Linked DNA regions of Pelodiscus sinensis. The protein of the gene in region 2 interacts with the protein of the main gene of each other region in a pairwise test. Links are inferred from orthologs where the notes say so. Each region holds a gene or a part of one and is shown on either strand. Other genes may lie near its edges.

Evidence for each region. The genes of interacting proteins can lie anywhere in the genome.
Region 1: the proteins of ZHX1 (region 2) and ZMYND11 interact in a two-hybrid assay, tested with the Homo sapiens proteins (2 studies listed by BioGRID and IntAct). The link is inferred for Pelodiscus sinensis from reciprocal best matches to the Homo sapiens genes ZHX1 and ZMYND11.

The regions. Positions count from the first base shown.
Region 1 is NC_134712.1:237,858,162-237,865,743, forward strand, and holds the start of ZMYND11 (zinc finger MYND domain-containing protein 11), read right to left. Parts: upstream 3,013-7,582; 5' UTR 2,800-3,012; intron 2,404-2,799; exon of another isoform or gene 2,031-2,403; intron 1,804-2,030; exon of another isoform or gene 1,757-1,803; intron 1-1,756. UniProt on the Homo sapiens protein: Chromatin reader that specifically recognizes and binds histone H3.3 trimethylated at 'Lys-36' (H3.3K36me3) and regulates RNA polymerase II elongation. Does not bind other histone H3 subtypes (H3.1 or H3.2).
Region 2 is NC_134712.1:19,902,909-19,910,824, reverse strand, and holds the start of ZHX1 (zinc fingers and homeoboxes protein 1), read right to left. Parts: upstream 3,008-7,916; 5' UTR 2,421-3,007; intron 1,312-2,420; exon of another isoform or gene 1,307-1,311; 5' UTR 1,197-1,306; intron 1-1,196. UniProt on the Homo sapiens protein: Acts as a transcriptional repressor. Increases DNMT3B-mediated repressive transcriptional activity when DNMT3B is tethered to DNA. May link molecule between DNMT3B and other co-repressor proteins.

The DNA of each region.
Region 1 (7,582 bases), about 220 Mb from region 2:
ATTAATTACAAAGAATACCATAAAGTTCAATAAAAACAGGCCTCAAAAAGGTGGGAGAAATTTTCTACCTTCCTCTTGTCCACTCCACAAGTAATGCAATCAGTACAGTGTGAGAGGAAAATACTATTCTGAGATGTTAAAATGTCAGTCATACCATCACTGAATTATACAACACCTAGCACTGTATTCAGTATTTGATTTTTCAACTATGTTTCTAGGTTTCTCAAGTCTAGTTCTTTTCCACTAGTGCAGTATTTCTTAAACTGTGTTCCAATGAATGAGGCAGTTGGAGGTGTGCTGGAGAACAGAATTACAAAATGGCAGCCGTTAAAGGGGCAGGCAACTTTTTTTTTCCCTCCATAACTTTCCCCTGACCCTTTTTCCCCCTCAATAACTTTCCCCCCTACCTTCTTACCTCCCCCTCCCCCGACCTTTCTTTTTCCTCAACAAAAAATTCTTGGGTGTTCCTCATAAAAAAAATTGTTTGGTGTTCCTTGGTCTTAAAAAGTTTAAGAAACACTGTACTAGAGTCTTTTAAATGCTGTTGACAACTTTGCATTTGAACAAGGCCAAATACACTTAATGGCAGATCCAGAATGATTTTCAGGGACAAAAACTGTGAGCTCAGAAACATCACACAAAGTTTTCCCAAAAGCTTCAGAGGGGTAGCCAAGTTAGTCTGTAACTAGAAAAACTTTAAAAAGGCAACAAGTAGTCTACTACTGCACCTTAAAGACTAACAAAACATGTAGATGGTATCATGAGCTTTTGTGGGCACAACCCACTTCTTCAGATGACAAGTCCCTAATGTCACATTGAACATACTGACTTGTCTCTAAAAGAGAGCCAAGAAAATGTAATGAAAAAACCCACTATATTTCTGCTTTCAGTACTTTCAATATTTGCTTCTCCTTTCACACTTTCACCTCTTCTGTTGAAATAAATAAGGGAAGGAAACCTATAGTCCTCAGGCAAATCTTTGAGACAGGAGAAAAGGAACAACACACCACTTATGTCAATGCAGTGGGAGGCTGAAGATCATTTGTAAATGAAACTTCAGCTTCTCCATTCACAAAGACACAATGGGAAACCAGAGCCAATCCCACAAGAGCTAGAAGGGACCATCCAGCAGGTGAGGAAGGAAAGCGCAGAGGATTTGAGGAAGCAGAGTGATGGCTGCCTGGGCCTAATGAGCATCTCACCTGTAAGGGGCTTTAGGAGCAGGGTGCCCATCTCCTCTTAGGGTGTGTCTAGACTACCTAGTTTTGTCGACAAAAGTGGACTTTTGTCGATAAAACTATACCAGTGTCTACACTTACGCTGAGTTCTGTCGACATAACGTCGACAGAACTCAGCAGTTTTGTCGACGCTGGTATACCTCATTTTACGAGGCATAACACCTTCTGTCGACAGAACTCTGTCGACAGAAGGTGTTATTGCCTGTAACACTGCGTCCAGACTACGGAGTTCTGTCGACAAAGCAGCTTGCTTTGTCGACAGAACTCAGTGTGTCTGGACGCTCTTTGTCGACAGAAGTTTTGTCGACAGTATCTGTCGACAAAACTTCTGTCGACAAAACGCGGTAGTCTAGACGTACCCCCAGGGAGACTGGGGACCTAAACCTCATTTCTCCCCTTAGAAAAGAGTTTGAGGGTGTTAGATGCAACTTCCCTGCTCATGTCTGCCCTACAGGGGGAGCTAGAGTATCACCCCTCCCCAGCAGTGTCTGCCTGACATGGGGTCCTGGAGAGGTGAGGGTATGGCCGCTGCTCCAGGATCGGACCCAGCAGGGGAGGGCCCCCAGTAGGTATTGTCTCCCCCCAGGTGTGCCTTTGGGGGGCACCACAGAGGTACTGCCTTCCCCCTTGCTTCTGCCCTATCAGGGGCAAACAGGAGCAATGCCCCCCCAGCGTCTGCCCCACCGAGGCCAAGCAGGGATATTGCCCTTCCCCCGCGTCTGCCCTAAGAGGGGAGCCGAGGGTACAGCCCTCACCCCCTCCCAGTGCCGCCCCCGGGGCTAATCCCCCTACCCGTGTCGCTGCTTCAGAGACAGCCTTGCAGAGCAGCTGCCATTATCCGGCCCAGCCCCGTCCCTAAGCAGGCTCAGCCCAGCGACAGCCACAGGCGGGGCCGGGGCAAGCCAGGCGCCTGGCGTGCGGGGTGGGGGGAGGGCTGTGGCCCGTCTGCGCCACATCCCGCTCGGCCGCTCCTCTCACTCGAGGCCCCGGCTGCCCCGCTCCCCGCAGGCCGCGCTGGAAGATTCAGGAGGGGCTTTCTCCCGCCTCCCCCCAGCCCCTAGGTTATTTATTGTAACTTTGGCGTGCGCGGGGGAGGCGCAATCCCAGCCCTTTGCAGCTAAAGCCCATGGCTGCGGGGGGAGGGAGCTTTGTCAACGAGGATTGATAATTATTAATATTCCCCCGCGCCCAGTTTCCCTGCTCCATTTCCACCCTGGCTAGGAAATTACCCCCCCCCCCGCAACAGCAAACAAAATCCCCCCCAGCTCCCCACATTTTATTATTCTAGTGGCAGCCCCCCCCAGGAACCCGCTCCCCTCCCGACCAGCCCTTCCCCTGCCCCTATCTCCTTGGATCACTGTGTACAGATTTTTGTAGGGTTTTTTTTAAGGCGCCATGTTTATAATCCTCCATCATATTAAAAAAATTCCACCCAGCACGAGACACGCTGTCTCTTCACCCCAAAGCCAGGGGGAGAGAGACAGAAACATCCACAGGGCTGTAAATTCAAGCCCCCCTCACACACGCACCCCTCCTCCCCAGACTCCAAAGTCTCTCTCACCTTGTGCTGTTGCTGCTGCTCCTGCTGCTGGAAGGGGGAGGGGAGGGAGAAGTTAAGCCAGGGGAAACTTTTCAATCGCTTCCCCAGGCCGCTGCTGCCGCCTCCTTCCACATATTTTTCCCCCTCGGAGTTTTATTGTGTCTGAATATTCTCTCCCTCTCCTCTTCTGTCTGTCCACAGTTAAGGTTTCTGGGGTAAACAGGGTTTAGGATTGTACTAGGGATATTTGGGAGAAGGAGAACTCTAGTGGTGTTTGCTGGAGTTGCTGTTTGTTTCTTTCTGCTTTCATTTTATTTTATTTTAATACATTGAAATCGCATTCTTAACTGTTGATGGATTATATATTAGTTTTTAGATCATAATATTAAGCCATGACCCTGCAGTGAGTTTATTGGCATTTAGAGGGAATATACATTAACCAAGGTAAGATAGGGTGCATGCTATGAAAATACAATCTGTAGAAATTCTGGACAAATTTTTCAGAAGGGATCACTGAACTGGGACACCCAAAAACTAAAGAATGAAAAACCCATGGCTACTCTTGAAAAATTGGCTTCATACGTCTAACTATGGTGATTACAGAAACTGGCCTTTCACAAAATGAATACTGTTGATGTGTGCATTTTGTGTGTAATTTATAATATTTAGAAATATTTTGTGGTATGTTTAGATATAATATGCAACTTATATGGTGTGTCAATATTAAAGGAATATGTAATGCTAGTGTATGCAAATGAATTTGAATTTTGATGGTCATTAGAAATTACATGAGAGAAGAAAGCCTTGTAATTACAGGCTTGACCAGCTTTTTTTTTTTTTTTTTTCTTTTTTCTTTTTTTCAGGGCAACATCATATTTTGTCACAACATACTATCAAGCTCAATCCTGCAAACATTATTCTTGTGAATAATTTGACACGTGATTACTTCCATTAAGATAACAGAGGACTGAGTAAAGTAAATCACATTCTTAATGCCTAATATAAAGACTTACACGCACTTAATTGTATGTGCTGTGAACTGTCTAAATCATGCAACTGTGTTCAAGTCAATGGGGACTACTGATCATGTTTAAAGTTAAGAACTTGCATACGTCTTTGCTGAATCAGGGCTTTAAAACCCTTTTTTAAAAATTTGTTGAGCACGAGTTAAGCAGCTTTGGTTCTGCTATTTTTTAAGCAGTGAGAAAATATTTTAGAATCTCTGAAATAAATGATACAAATAGAAATATGTAAGTAGATAATCTACTTGAAGTTTACTTGATGGATTTGATTGATAGACAACTTTTCGTTATCAGCAGTGCATTGTATGGTTGCATATTACCGTGAAAATATGGGTTTTATTTTAAAGTCAGGGTTTTGATAAACTTAGATCATTGGAGCTTTCCTGTTAATAGGTTGCAAAATAGTTGCAACCTTATATTGATTGAGTATAATTTTTGTTCTATAGCTAAAATTTTTAAAGGTAATTAGAGAATTAGACACTGTAATATGGGGCCGTTAGCGGTTAGCGCCCCTGCCAGCAGGATGGGGAACAATACTACCTGACTCCCATCCCCCCAATGGCACCATATTCAAGTCTGTTGTTATCAAGTCCTTGTTATGACCAGCCTTCTAGCTAGGTTCCAGTAGTATCTATTCCCTTCAAGATAATGGAGATTCAGAAGCACTGTTCCTGCCAATTTTTTCTATCCCATGTGTGGATATTTTCCATGCATGTGCTGAATACATTCGTATGTGCAGCGAGGCATGTGTGAATATGCACCACCAACAGAAACACAAAAGCTATCTATGGAATCTCTGACAATCAGCTGGGAGGCATTCAGATTTTTCCTGAGTGGCCGCATGAGTGCACAGCTTACAGGGACTATTGATCAGAAGCCCCATAACTCTAATGGGGCTAAAGCTCCTGGGTTTAGCTTTCTTCAGAGCCCTTGGCTAGAGCAAATTGGGAAAGCCAGCATAGGTGCTGACTTGCTTTTGCCAGATGGTGCTTTTGAAGAGGGGTGTGTGTTTGGGAAGATGATATTTTCAGCATATTTATTCATGTCTTTCATATTCTGGTTACTAAATATGTGTCTATCATTGGTATCTTACCAGGCAAAGAGACTGAGGGAAGTCTTGGGGGCAGGGACCTTGGAAGAAGAGCTGGAGTGGGCACAGGGCCTTTGAGGAAGCAGCAGAATGGAAGAGAGACCTCCAAGTGAATCACAGGCAGGGCCTCAAGAAGAAGTGGCAGAGGAGGGACAGGGTCATGTGGCTGAGAATGGGTTAGGACTGCAGTCTGAGCACCAGTGACCCCACCCCACTTTTAGGGAGTTTCTGACACCCCATCCAGCTTCCCCACCACTAGAGTCATGCACTGTCCAAAGCACCCACAGAGTTGGCACATAGAGAACCCAGGCCCACTGCCTCCTGTGGTTTTCAACTCAGGAAACATATTTGAAGCAGCCAGCCTCCATCTTTCTCAATTATTTGCTGCTCCATGAACTGCCTCTCCTCCTTTGCAAGCTTTTCGTGCCTCTTGCCCTAATTTGTCCTTTTTGGAGCATTTGGTTTTTCTGGCAGCTTCTTCCCCAGCCTGTTGGAAGAATCTTCATTTTACAATCCCTTCACCTCACTGAGGGCTGGGCTTCCCTTTTTTCTTCAGCTGTTTTCCCTTTGATTGAGGCCCTTAGCCTTTCATCATGCCTCAGTGCTTCCCTGTCTAATTAACTGCCTCTTAGTTACTGAGTGAATTAACTACTTACAGGTGTACCCAAGCTGCCTCATTTCCCCTCAAGGGGTCTCTCAGAAGAAGACTGGGCCCCTAACTCCAGAATGACAGCTACTTTCTGACATATAATTTTTAACTATGCTATAAATAGTAAGAGGAAAAAGGATTTACATCATGATCTAACTACTCCTTACTCCCTTGAGTACATCTTATTTTTGCACAGATTCATATTGGCTTAGGGCAAAACTGCAATTGTGTTCAACCCTAGCTCTCAGAAACTATGGTAATTGTTACTACATAAATTGCTGGGCTTCAGTCTTGCAAATGCTTACACATGTGCAGGATTAGGGCTTCCTCATTTGTCTATATTAGAAGTTTTTATTTGAAGTTATTGATTGCCTAATTGTTTGTGGTAGTTAACGTATTTGTAATGGCTAATCTGGTACACTCAATGTTTGTTCTGAGATACAAATTTTGGGTCTTAAGATAAAGGACAAACACTTGTATTCTCAAAATGCTCAGGGAGTATTCACATTGCTCCTACAACTATGTTATCTACTTCTATACAATGTTATTGTAGCTGTGTTGGTCCCAGGATATTAGAGAGACAAGGTGGTGAGGTAATATTTTTATTAGACCAACTTCCATTTGTGAGAGAGACATTTACACAGAGCTCTTCTTTAAATCAGGGAAATATACTCAGTATCACAGCTAAATACATGGTGGAACAGATGACCTTCGCCAATGGTAGGCAACCTGCAGCCCATCAGGGTTTCATGTGTGGTCCACGAGACATTTTGTTCACTGTTCTCATGCATAGGGTTGCCAGAGTCTGCTGGTTTCCGTGAACCTTTTTTTCTATCAGTATTACTAATGTGACATGCATGTAAAGGGAAGTGCATGCTAATTGCACACAATATTGATTATGAAAGGCGTGCACTCCCTCTGCAACCAATAAAAGCGCTGCTAAGTTTCAGTCTGCACACCATGCAAATTACAGGTATGCAATCACAATTAGCAAAACTATCCTATCTCTGGAGACTGTCTTGGTTACGACAGTCTTGTGGTTCACTGAGACGAAGGGCCACTCATGCCTCGGTTGCTCATCCCTGACCTACTCTGAGTAAGTATTTGCTGACTAAATCCGTTAACTCAAGTAAATAACACTGGTGTAGACCTTCGCCAAAGAAATAGGACTTCTTAGGGACTAATCTTGTAAAATGCTGATCTTCCTCAATTTGTATGAATATCAGCACCTAATAGGATCCAGCTTTAAGCAGGTAAACATTTGCATAATGTAGTCCTTAAGCCATGGCTTGGTGGACAAAAAGTCCTTCAGGGCTTCTCTACATAAGGACATCCAGGAAAATTAATTCAAAATTAACTCACTGTGTGAATTTGAAGTGGATAAGTTAAAAATTGTGATCCTATTCTTCAGAATTAAAGTAGCCTTAATTTGGTTTAGTTGAATTCATTCCCCAAGTGACTTAAATCACATGGAATCAGGGGTCACTATAGTTTTGAAAAACAGTGTATACACAGGGGTTTAATATGGTTTCACTAACCCGCTTCAGATTCACAGTTGTGGTTAATTCAGATTAATTTTTTATGGTGCTATATAGACAAAACCTCAGTCATAGTAGTTCATCGGAGTTACCTTACATATGATTGAAAAGACTTTTTAAGACTGATGCAGGATTGAAGCCACATTAGCTTGTTACAGGCTTGGCATCTCTACAGTCGTTTATCTCTGCATCTAACTATTTGAAGTTTCCCTTTTGGTAGCTAAGGTTTCAATTAGGGAACAGCACTAAGATAAGTACTTTTAAAGTCCTATGGTTAGAAGCAGTCAAGGCTTAGTTACGCAGACATTGGAAAGAAAATCCCGCCTTTCATGAGTGCTGGGTAGTTTGTTCCTTCATAGGCATTGCCAACTGTTATGGCAGTTGCTCAATTGGGAAAGTATCCTAACCCTTCCCCCAAAGTAATGTGATTGGCTGATGAGAGTCATAGGCATAGAGTTACATGGCATGTCAGCATAAAATTCAGGGTGTTTCCTTTTCCCTTGTC
Region 2 (7,916 bases):
TTTGCAGATGACACAAAAATTGTGGGAGTTATAAATAAAGAAGATTTACAGGTCTCTGATACAGAGGAACCTGTATTGTTTGATAAACTGGGTACAAGCTAACAATATGTGTTTCAATACAACAAAACGTGAAGTCATACAAAAACAAAGAATGCATGTCATACTTACAGGATGCAGGAGTCTAACCTGAGAAACAATGACTTTGAAAAAGAGGTAGGTGGTATATCACTATGCACATCAGTTAAAGAGACTCAGAAAAGGCTAATGTATGGATGTATAAAAATGGGACTATCAAGAGGGGCTAGGAAAGTTATTTTACTATCCTGGGGTTATCATGACTGGATTACCATATCCACACTGTTTCTACAATTAAAGAAGGATGTTAATAAATTAGAGAGAATTCAGAAGATCCATGAAAATTTGTAAAGAACTGAAAAACAGGAGGCTCAAGGACTCAGTGTATTCACTTGAATCAAAGAAAAGATTAAGAGGTGATTTAAGATAGGTTGCATAAGTATCTCTACAGGGAATGGAAATCTGGTAACAGAAGGACCCTTAATTCTAATAGACAAAGGTACAACAACATCAGATAGCTAGAAGTTGAAACTAGACAAATTCAGAGCACAAGACAGACATATATCTTTAAACAGTGAATGTAATTAACCACTGGAATGATTTAATCAATGGATTTACTGTGATGGCTTCTCCATCATTGGCAATTTTTATATCAAGTGTACATGTTTTTCTAAAAAAATATGCTCTAATTCAAACAGGAATTAATTAATTAGTCTTTGTTGCTCAGGAGGATGATAATGGTCTCCTTTGGTCGTATCATCTATGAATCTACTTTAAACATTATTTTTTGCCCTATTAGATTTTGTAAAATCCTTGTAACCAAAACACATTTTTGTTCTATACTGACTGTGTGGTTTTAATTCCTCTTTACTTTGGTGCCTTTAAAAGAAGTTTTAGATTACACTTTGCAGCTTTTTAAAAATGAAATTCATATTTCTGAATACCTCCAGCATGCTATTTTTAAAAAAAGGGCTATTTATTTCTGGTTAAAAATCCATTTACACACCAACTTCTTATATTTTAAATGGCAAATTGAGAAAGGTAAACTGCCACATCATTAGTATGGTTAACTGCCGTCCCAGAAAGGTTAAAATGTTCAGAAGTAACATGGAGATACCTACCAGTTAGTATTCACTACTTGCAGGTGTTTTGATCCCTTTCAGAAGCACAGAACCTCTTTTCAAAGTATGTGGTTTATTGACACTGCTTTGGATCTCTATTTCTGTGCATCCTAATCTGGAGAAGAGTTGAAAATCAGAATGCAGGCCTGGGTGTATGTGTATATGTCCCAAAAAAAGTAAAAATGACATTTCCAAACTTTACCTGCAAACACTGCTACAGGTTCCATCTTTTCAAACTAATTCATTTTGCATTTTAAGATGCCAGAACTAGAACTTATCCCATGGACTCAATTAGTTAACTAAAAGATCCATAAGGATAAATACTGGTATATTAAAAACACAAGCATATTGGGTCCTTCAAATTTATGAAAATTAAGTTCTTTATGCTGCTTTTTCACCTGACTTGTCCAATTTTCCTTCACCATTTGTGAAAGACAAAAACATACACAAAATCCTCTCTGCATAGCTGCCAAACTCATATTTGGAGATGAGGAAAGAGGAAGATCTCCCTGGTTCTTCAATTTTGCAGTAGCTTAAAAACAAAAAAATACTTCACCATGAGGGATTTTACAGCATGTTCCCAGGAGATTTAGGAATCTCATTCAACTGGGACAAGAATCATCAAATTTGTAAATTTCAAAACTGTGATTACTTTTTCAGTATTGCTCCCTCCCCCCATCAGAGCCTCCAACTCTCCCAAAAAGCCACCCACAACAGTATTTAGATTTTAGAACCTCCTCTAAATCACCATTGGGAGAAAGCATAACACAGGTCCCATCATCTGCAGACAAAACAATAGGGAGGCGAAGAGTGGGGAGAAATACACACTCAGCCCCTTCCACCTAAAAAATATTTAGAAGTATAAAACTGCTCAGTGAAGACACCCCTTTGCCTGTCTCTGGCCGTAAGAACTCTCCCATGGTTTATTCCTTTCTCCTTTCTTCCCCTAAACCTTGGAAAGACATCTTTTTTTTTGTAACGTTTCCCTAGAAATGATCACTGAGCCAGGGTGTGGGGAGTTTGTTGATCTCAGCACCCTTCTCCCATATTATAAATGATTGAAAACTGAAGGGAGAATCCCTCTCAAATCTCAGTTCTAGAAGCAATGGCTAGAGATGTGTGTGTGAGAAATACTTCCCAGCTTCCACCAAAGACATTTCACTCACGCTCTCCAACACGCCCAGCACCCCCAGCAGAGAAAGCAAAGAATGCTAAAATCCCTACCGTGAAGTGCAGCTCTCTGCCTCTCTCCTACTCAGCCTGTGTCTGTACCTCCTCCTCCTACTGCCTCGTCGCCATCTTGCATTTCAAAAACTACTGCACTTTTTTTGGGGAGGGGTGGGTAACTGAACTGTGAACTTTGAACTCACATAGCACTTTAAACCCACCCTGAACACACAGACCCTGATTTGATCTGTGCATTAAAACTCCATTCCCCCTTCGATGCAGAGAGTCTATGCCATGCTCTGAGTGTGGGAAACGGGTGTAGCAATAGGCAGTGTCTCTCACTCAATCACACATGCAGGAGCAGCAGGGAGGGGAGGAGCTGTTCCAGCAGTGATACAATCGCCTCTCGTCTTGCGTGTGAAGCTGGGGAGTGGTAGCTGCCACCATTTATAAAGCTGGCACAACAGAAGGCTGCCCTGTGATTGGTCCCAGCAACGTATTATTCTAGCCATAGGGATCAGGACCAAAAAAAAAAAGCTAGTGGTCACATGACATCTCCCCCCATCTCTTACCCACTGAGCTGCTAAGCTAAGGGACCCAAGGCAAAGATCATCCTGTCCCTATGCTGTGTATTTCTCTCTCTCTCCTAGTTTATCAAGTTACAATCTAGTGGTGTTAAATGAGGAAGCAGGTTATTACAACTATTTTAGCCCAATTTCTTTTTTACCATGGGTGCTTTTTGTAGCGTGCGAAAGGAAAAAGCAAACAAAGCAATTAGAGTTTCATTTTCTAGTTTACACAATAGCAGCGGGCTGCAATGTTTGGGTTCAAACAAACTTTTTTTTCTTTCTGTGTTAGAAGCACTGAAGAGTGGGCACTGCTTTTAAAAGAATGGACCTGTGCTCTTTTCGTTTCTTTACCAGTAGAGCTTTGAGCAACAATGAAGGTGAATGTGGCCAAGCACTTTTCATTAAGAGACTTTTTCAGTTACTTAAAATTTTAGCAAATTTCAGGTGGTTGGACAGAAATGTCTCAATGCCCAGATCAGCCTCAGACTGATTTTTTTTTAAACATTTCAGAAAAACTGATTCAATCTGTGTCACAATACGGTGAGTGATAATTTTGTTTCTCCTCCTTTCCCCATTCATCACAAATGTGTAAATGCCTGTCATCTGTGGAATTCAGAGGTGGTTCAGTGTTGTACTAGAGCAGTGGTCTCCAACCTTTTTATACCCAAGATCACTTTTTAAATGTCAGGGCAAGCCAATATCTACCCCATCCGTTCCCCAAGATCTGATCCCTTCCTTGAGGCCCTACCCTCTCTGTTCCCCTCCTCTCCATCATTTGCTGTCTCCAGGCCTCACTCACGCTCCTGGTGTTGAGACAGAAGGTGCTGGTTCTGGGATGGGAATGAGGGATTTGGGTGTGGGAAAGGGTGAGAGGTGCAAGCTCTAGGAAGGAATTCGGGTGCAGGAGGAGGAGGAGAAGGGGATGCTGACTCAGGGAGGGGGCTCCAGGCTGGAGAGTGTTGGGGTCAGGAGGAGGGTTGGGGTGTATAAGGGGCTCAAGGCAGGAAGGTTGGGTGTACAGTGGGGATTTAAGGGGCTCACGCCAGTGTATGATAGGCTCAGGTTTGGGGTCTGGGTGTGTGTGTGCAGGAGTGTTATGATGCTGCATCCAGATGGGGGCTTGGCCCCAACTGGAGGATTGTTGGACAGGCTTCATTTTTAAATAAAATATGTCAAACACAAAATGTTTCAGCATTGTTTTTATTTATGAGAGGTGTGGGGAACCTGTTTTAAGTCAGGGGTCACTGACCCACAGAAAAATCAGTTGGAGACCACACTAGTGAAATGCAAAATAAACCACACACCACACACACCACCCTCCAAAACCCCCCCAGTCTCATTGATGTAGCCCCAGCTGAGACACCTCACTCTCCCAGCACTCTAAACCTATGGGGGCGGAGAAGAGGAGGTAGAACTAAGGTTCAAGGCCCTCCGGCCAGATTAACTCTTTCTGGGGTTTCAGGGTTAGTGGAATTTGTGGGCCCCTCTACACTCTGAAATGAGGCAGGACAGGGCTCCCAGTGAGTGGGATAGGGATGCAGAATCTGGGTAGAAAATAAGGTAGAGGAGCAAGCTGGAGGTAGGTGTCTGGCCAGGAGGGAGGGGGTAGGAGCAGGGTGCTGGTGGGCATCTGGCCATGAAGCAGGGGCAGGGTGCTGAATGCTATCTGGCCACAAGGCAGGGGCAGAGTTTGGGATGGGATCTGGCAAGGGGGCAGAAGCAGGGTGCTGGTCGGGCCCTGGGCAGGGTGTAGGTGGGAGTCTGGATGGGGCCAGATGCTGGTGGGGCCCTGGCCAGGGTGAGGGAGCAGGGTGCTGTTGGGGAGGACTGGCCAGCAGGTGAAGACAAGGACAGCTCGACTGGTACCTGGGGATCTCGCAACACGTGTGCTGCTCCTCCCCTCCTCAAAACAGCTGGCATGCTTCCTGAGATGGTACTGAGCTGATCTTGTCCATGAATAGGTGTAAAATAGTAACGTGCAGCAGAAGCCTTGTTGTCTATTAAGACATTTAAGATTTTGGGTGCAATGCACAGAAAAAAAGGCAATCTTGCACAGAAATTTTAAGCTCTCAGAGATACTCATTTTGTCTGGTCAATATTGAGGATTGTGTTGGTTTGAGTAGAAAATGCATCAAGATTTTCTTGAAGATGCAGCTCCAGATTTTTCCTTTTGTTAGTGGATCAGTCCCTTCTTGAATACCACTTGTATTCTCCACTACTAATTTATCTGTTTCCCCAAACATCCCCAGACCTGTACATTTAGATACACAGAGTATCTGTGATTACTGGTTGCTACTGATTTAACAGATTTCTTGTAACCTGTAGTAGCAGTCATCCCCCATTAGGTCAAAGATTTGACCACAATGTGAACTCAAGGCCTACCTTACTCAAAGCAAGGATATGCTTACCATCAAGTAGGGATGTAATAGTGTAGTCAATCAATAAGCAAAAGCTTATAGGGTTAATGCTATAGACTACACACATTCCCTCCCCACACCAGTAAATTTTTTAGCAGGCTGGTCAGCAGCCTGGCAACAGGTCCCAGACCTACCCCTACTGTGGCTCTGAATTTAAGTGTCTTAGAAGTCAGTTGGGCAGGCAGCCCATCTCAGTTCTGTCTCGCACTGGGTCCAGGAGCTCAGACCCCCTTAGACAGGGACTGCTGCCTCTTTATCAGGTGACCTGGTTTTTAAACCGGCTCCTCACACAGACCAGCTCCTGCCTGGCACCCCATGCTGCTGCCTCTGATACAGAGGCAGCAGTATGGAGTGGCAGGGGGCTACTCGGGAGTGAGGCCGGAGCACACTGACTGCTGGCCCTGTTCCAGAGACAATAGAATAGTCAACTAACTGATAAGAATTCATGAGGTTAATTGTATCAGAGGGGGTAGCCGTGTTAGTATGGATCTGCAATTGAATAATCAATTGAATTGATTATTCAATTAACCGATATTTAACATCCCTACTATCAAGTAGTCTTTTCTTATTAAGGCCATGTTTTATCTTACACTTTTTGGTCACCAGTTACATCAGCATACATCTGCCAAAATTTTTATAATCGTTTGGGCATGTGAATACATGGCTACTTGTTTTAGCACTGCAAATACTCATCAAGAGTGTTTGGGTTATTGCAAAGTCCCATGCCCTGGATCAGTATCCCAATGTGCCCTGAACTACTTCATGGTGGAATACCTTTTAAGATGGAAACGACATGTCCAGGACATTAGGGAGCAAGGGGTCCCAGCATGCAACTTCCTCTATCCATTATACTATTCATAGATCACAATTACTGTGCCTTAAAAAAAAGTCTACAAAATACACATGGCACTATTTGGTCTCTGCATCTCTGACAGAAGCAAGGAGTCAACAGAGATCTAGCATCGCCATTATCATGAATATTGCAAATACAGGACACACAAATCTCTTGTACTTACAGACTTGCAGGCAACAATGGAAATGCCAGTTTCTTCTAGGATAGTTTGCTCAGGAACATAGTGAAAAATAACACAAGGCTATGGGAGACATTAATGGAGCAGCTGCAGATGGTGGTGCACCACTGATGGGATCACATTGTAATGCAGATTTGGGATGACAAGTAGCAGTGGCTGCAGAACTTTCCACTAAGGAAGGCCATATTCCTAGATCTATGTTCTGATCTGGCACCAGTCCTCCTCTGCAAGGACACCAGAAAAAAAGAAGCAGTGACAGAAGTGTAGTGTTCACAATCTGGAAACTTGCAATGCCAGATTGCTATCAGTCAGTGGAAATCATTTTATAGTTTGAAAATCCAGTGAGAGCCATTGTCACACAAATGTATACAGCCATTAATCATCTTCTGCTACAGAAGACAGGCAATGTGGGGTTCGCAAACTGTGGAAGAGTAAGGTGCTCTCTTAGCAGGTGCAGTATGACTACTATGTTTTTGGAAGACTTATGAGTAAAGAGTGACAGCGTTTCTTCAGACTGGACCTCAGTGAGAAAAACCATCACAATGATTATAGCTGCTTGTGTTCTGTGCAATATATCATGCATGGGGGAAAAGCTGCTGTTAGGGTGGAGGCAGAGAGGCTTTGAACAGCTAGAACTCTTGCCAACTTAGGCTACGTCTATGTTGGCAAGATTTTGTGCAAATACTATTAACGCAAGAGTTTTTACATTAAAGTATTTGCTGAAGAGAGTGTCTACACTGGCATGTGCTTTTGCACAAGAGATGTGCTTTTGCGCAAAAGCATCTGTGCCAGTGTAGACGCTCTCTTGCGCAAGAAAGCTCCGATGGCCATTTTAGCCATCGGGCTTTCTTGCACAAGAAATTAATGTTGCCAGTCTATACTGGCCTCTTGCGCAAGAACAGTTGCACAAGAGGGCTTATCCCTGAGTGGGAGTGTCAGAGCATTTGCGCAAGAAGCACTGATTTTATACATCACAACGTCAGTGTTCTTGTGCAAGTACTTGCGGCCAGCGTAGACAAGTGGCAAGATTTTGCGCAAAAGCAGGTGCTTTTGCACAAAATCTTGCCAATGTAGACACAGCCAAAGACCGTTGTAAGAACACAATGTGGAGCTATGCAGTTGATGAAAGCTTTAAAAGATTAATTTTAACAGTCAGCCTCGCTGTTCTGTGCTGGACTGTTCTCTGGGCCTGAAGCTTTGGGTGTTAGTAATTGAGCATTTATAATTACAAGAGTTTTACAGGAGCTGTGAAACAGCCTGGTCGGTTGCACACAACAAAGAAAAGCTCCAAGGTGCACTCAAGGTGGAAAAGCAGGAACATTTTTTTTCCAAAAAACATACAAGGGACTTGGGAGAATTAGGGATGTAAAATCCACTTTAATTTGATAACCCTTATGTCTAACTGGTTAACCAATTAAGGGGGACAATAGAGCGCCCACTGCGGATGGGGGCTATTTAGGCCAGCCCCAAAGGATTGGAGCACCTCCATCCCTGCGGCAGGCTAGGAGCTGCACTAGCCCTTACTGGTAAACCGTT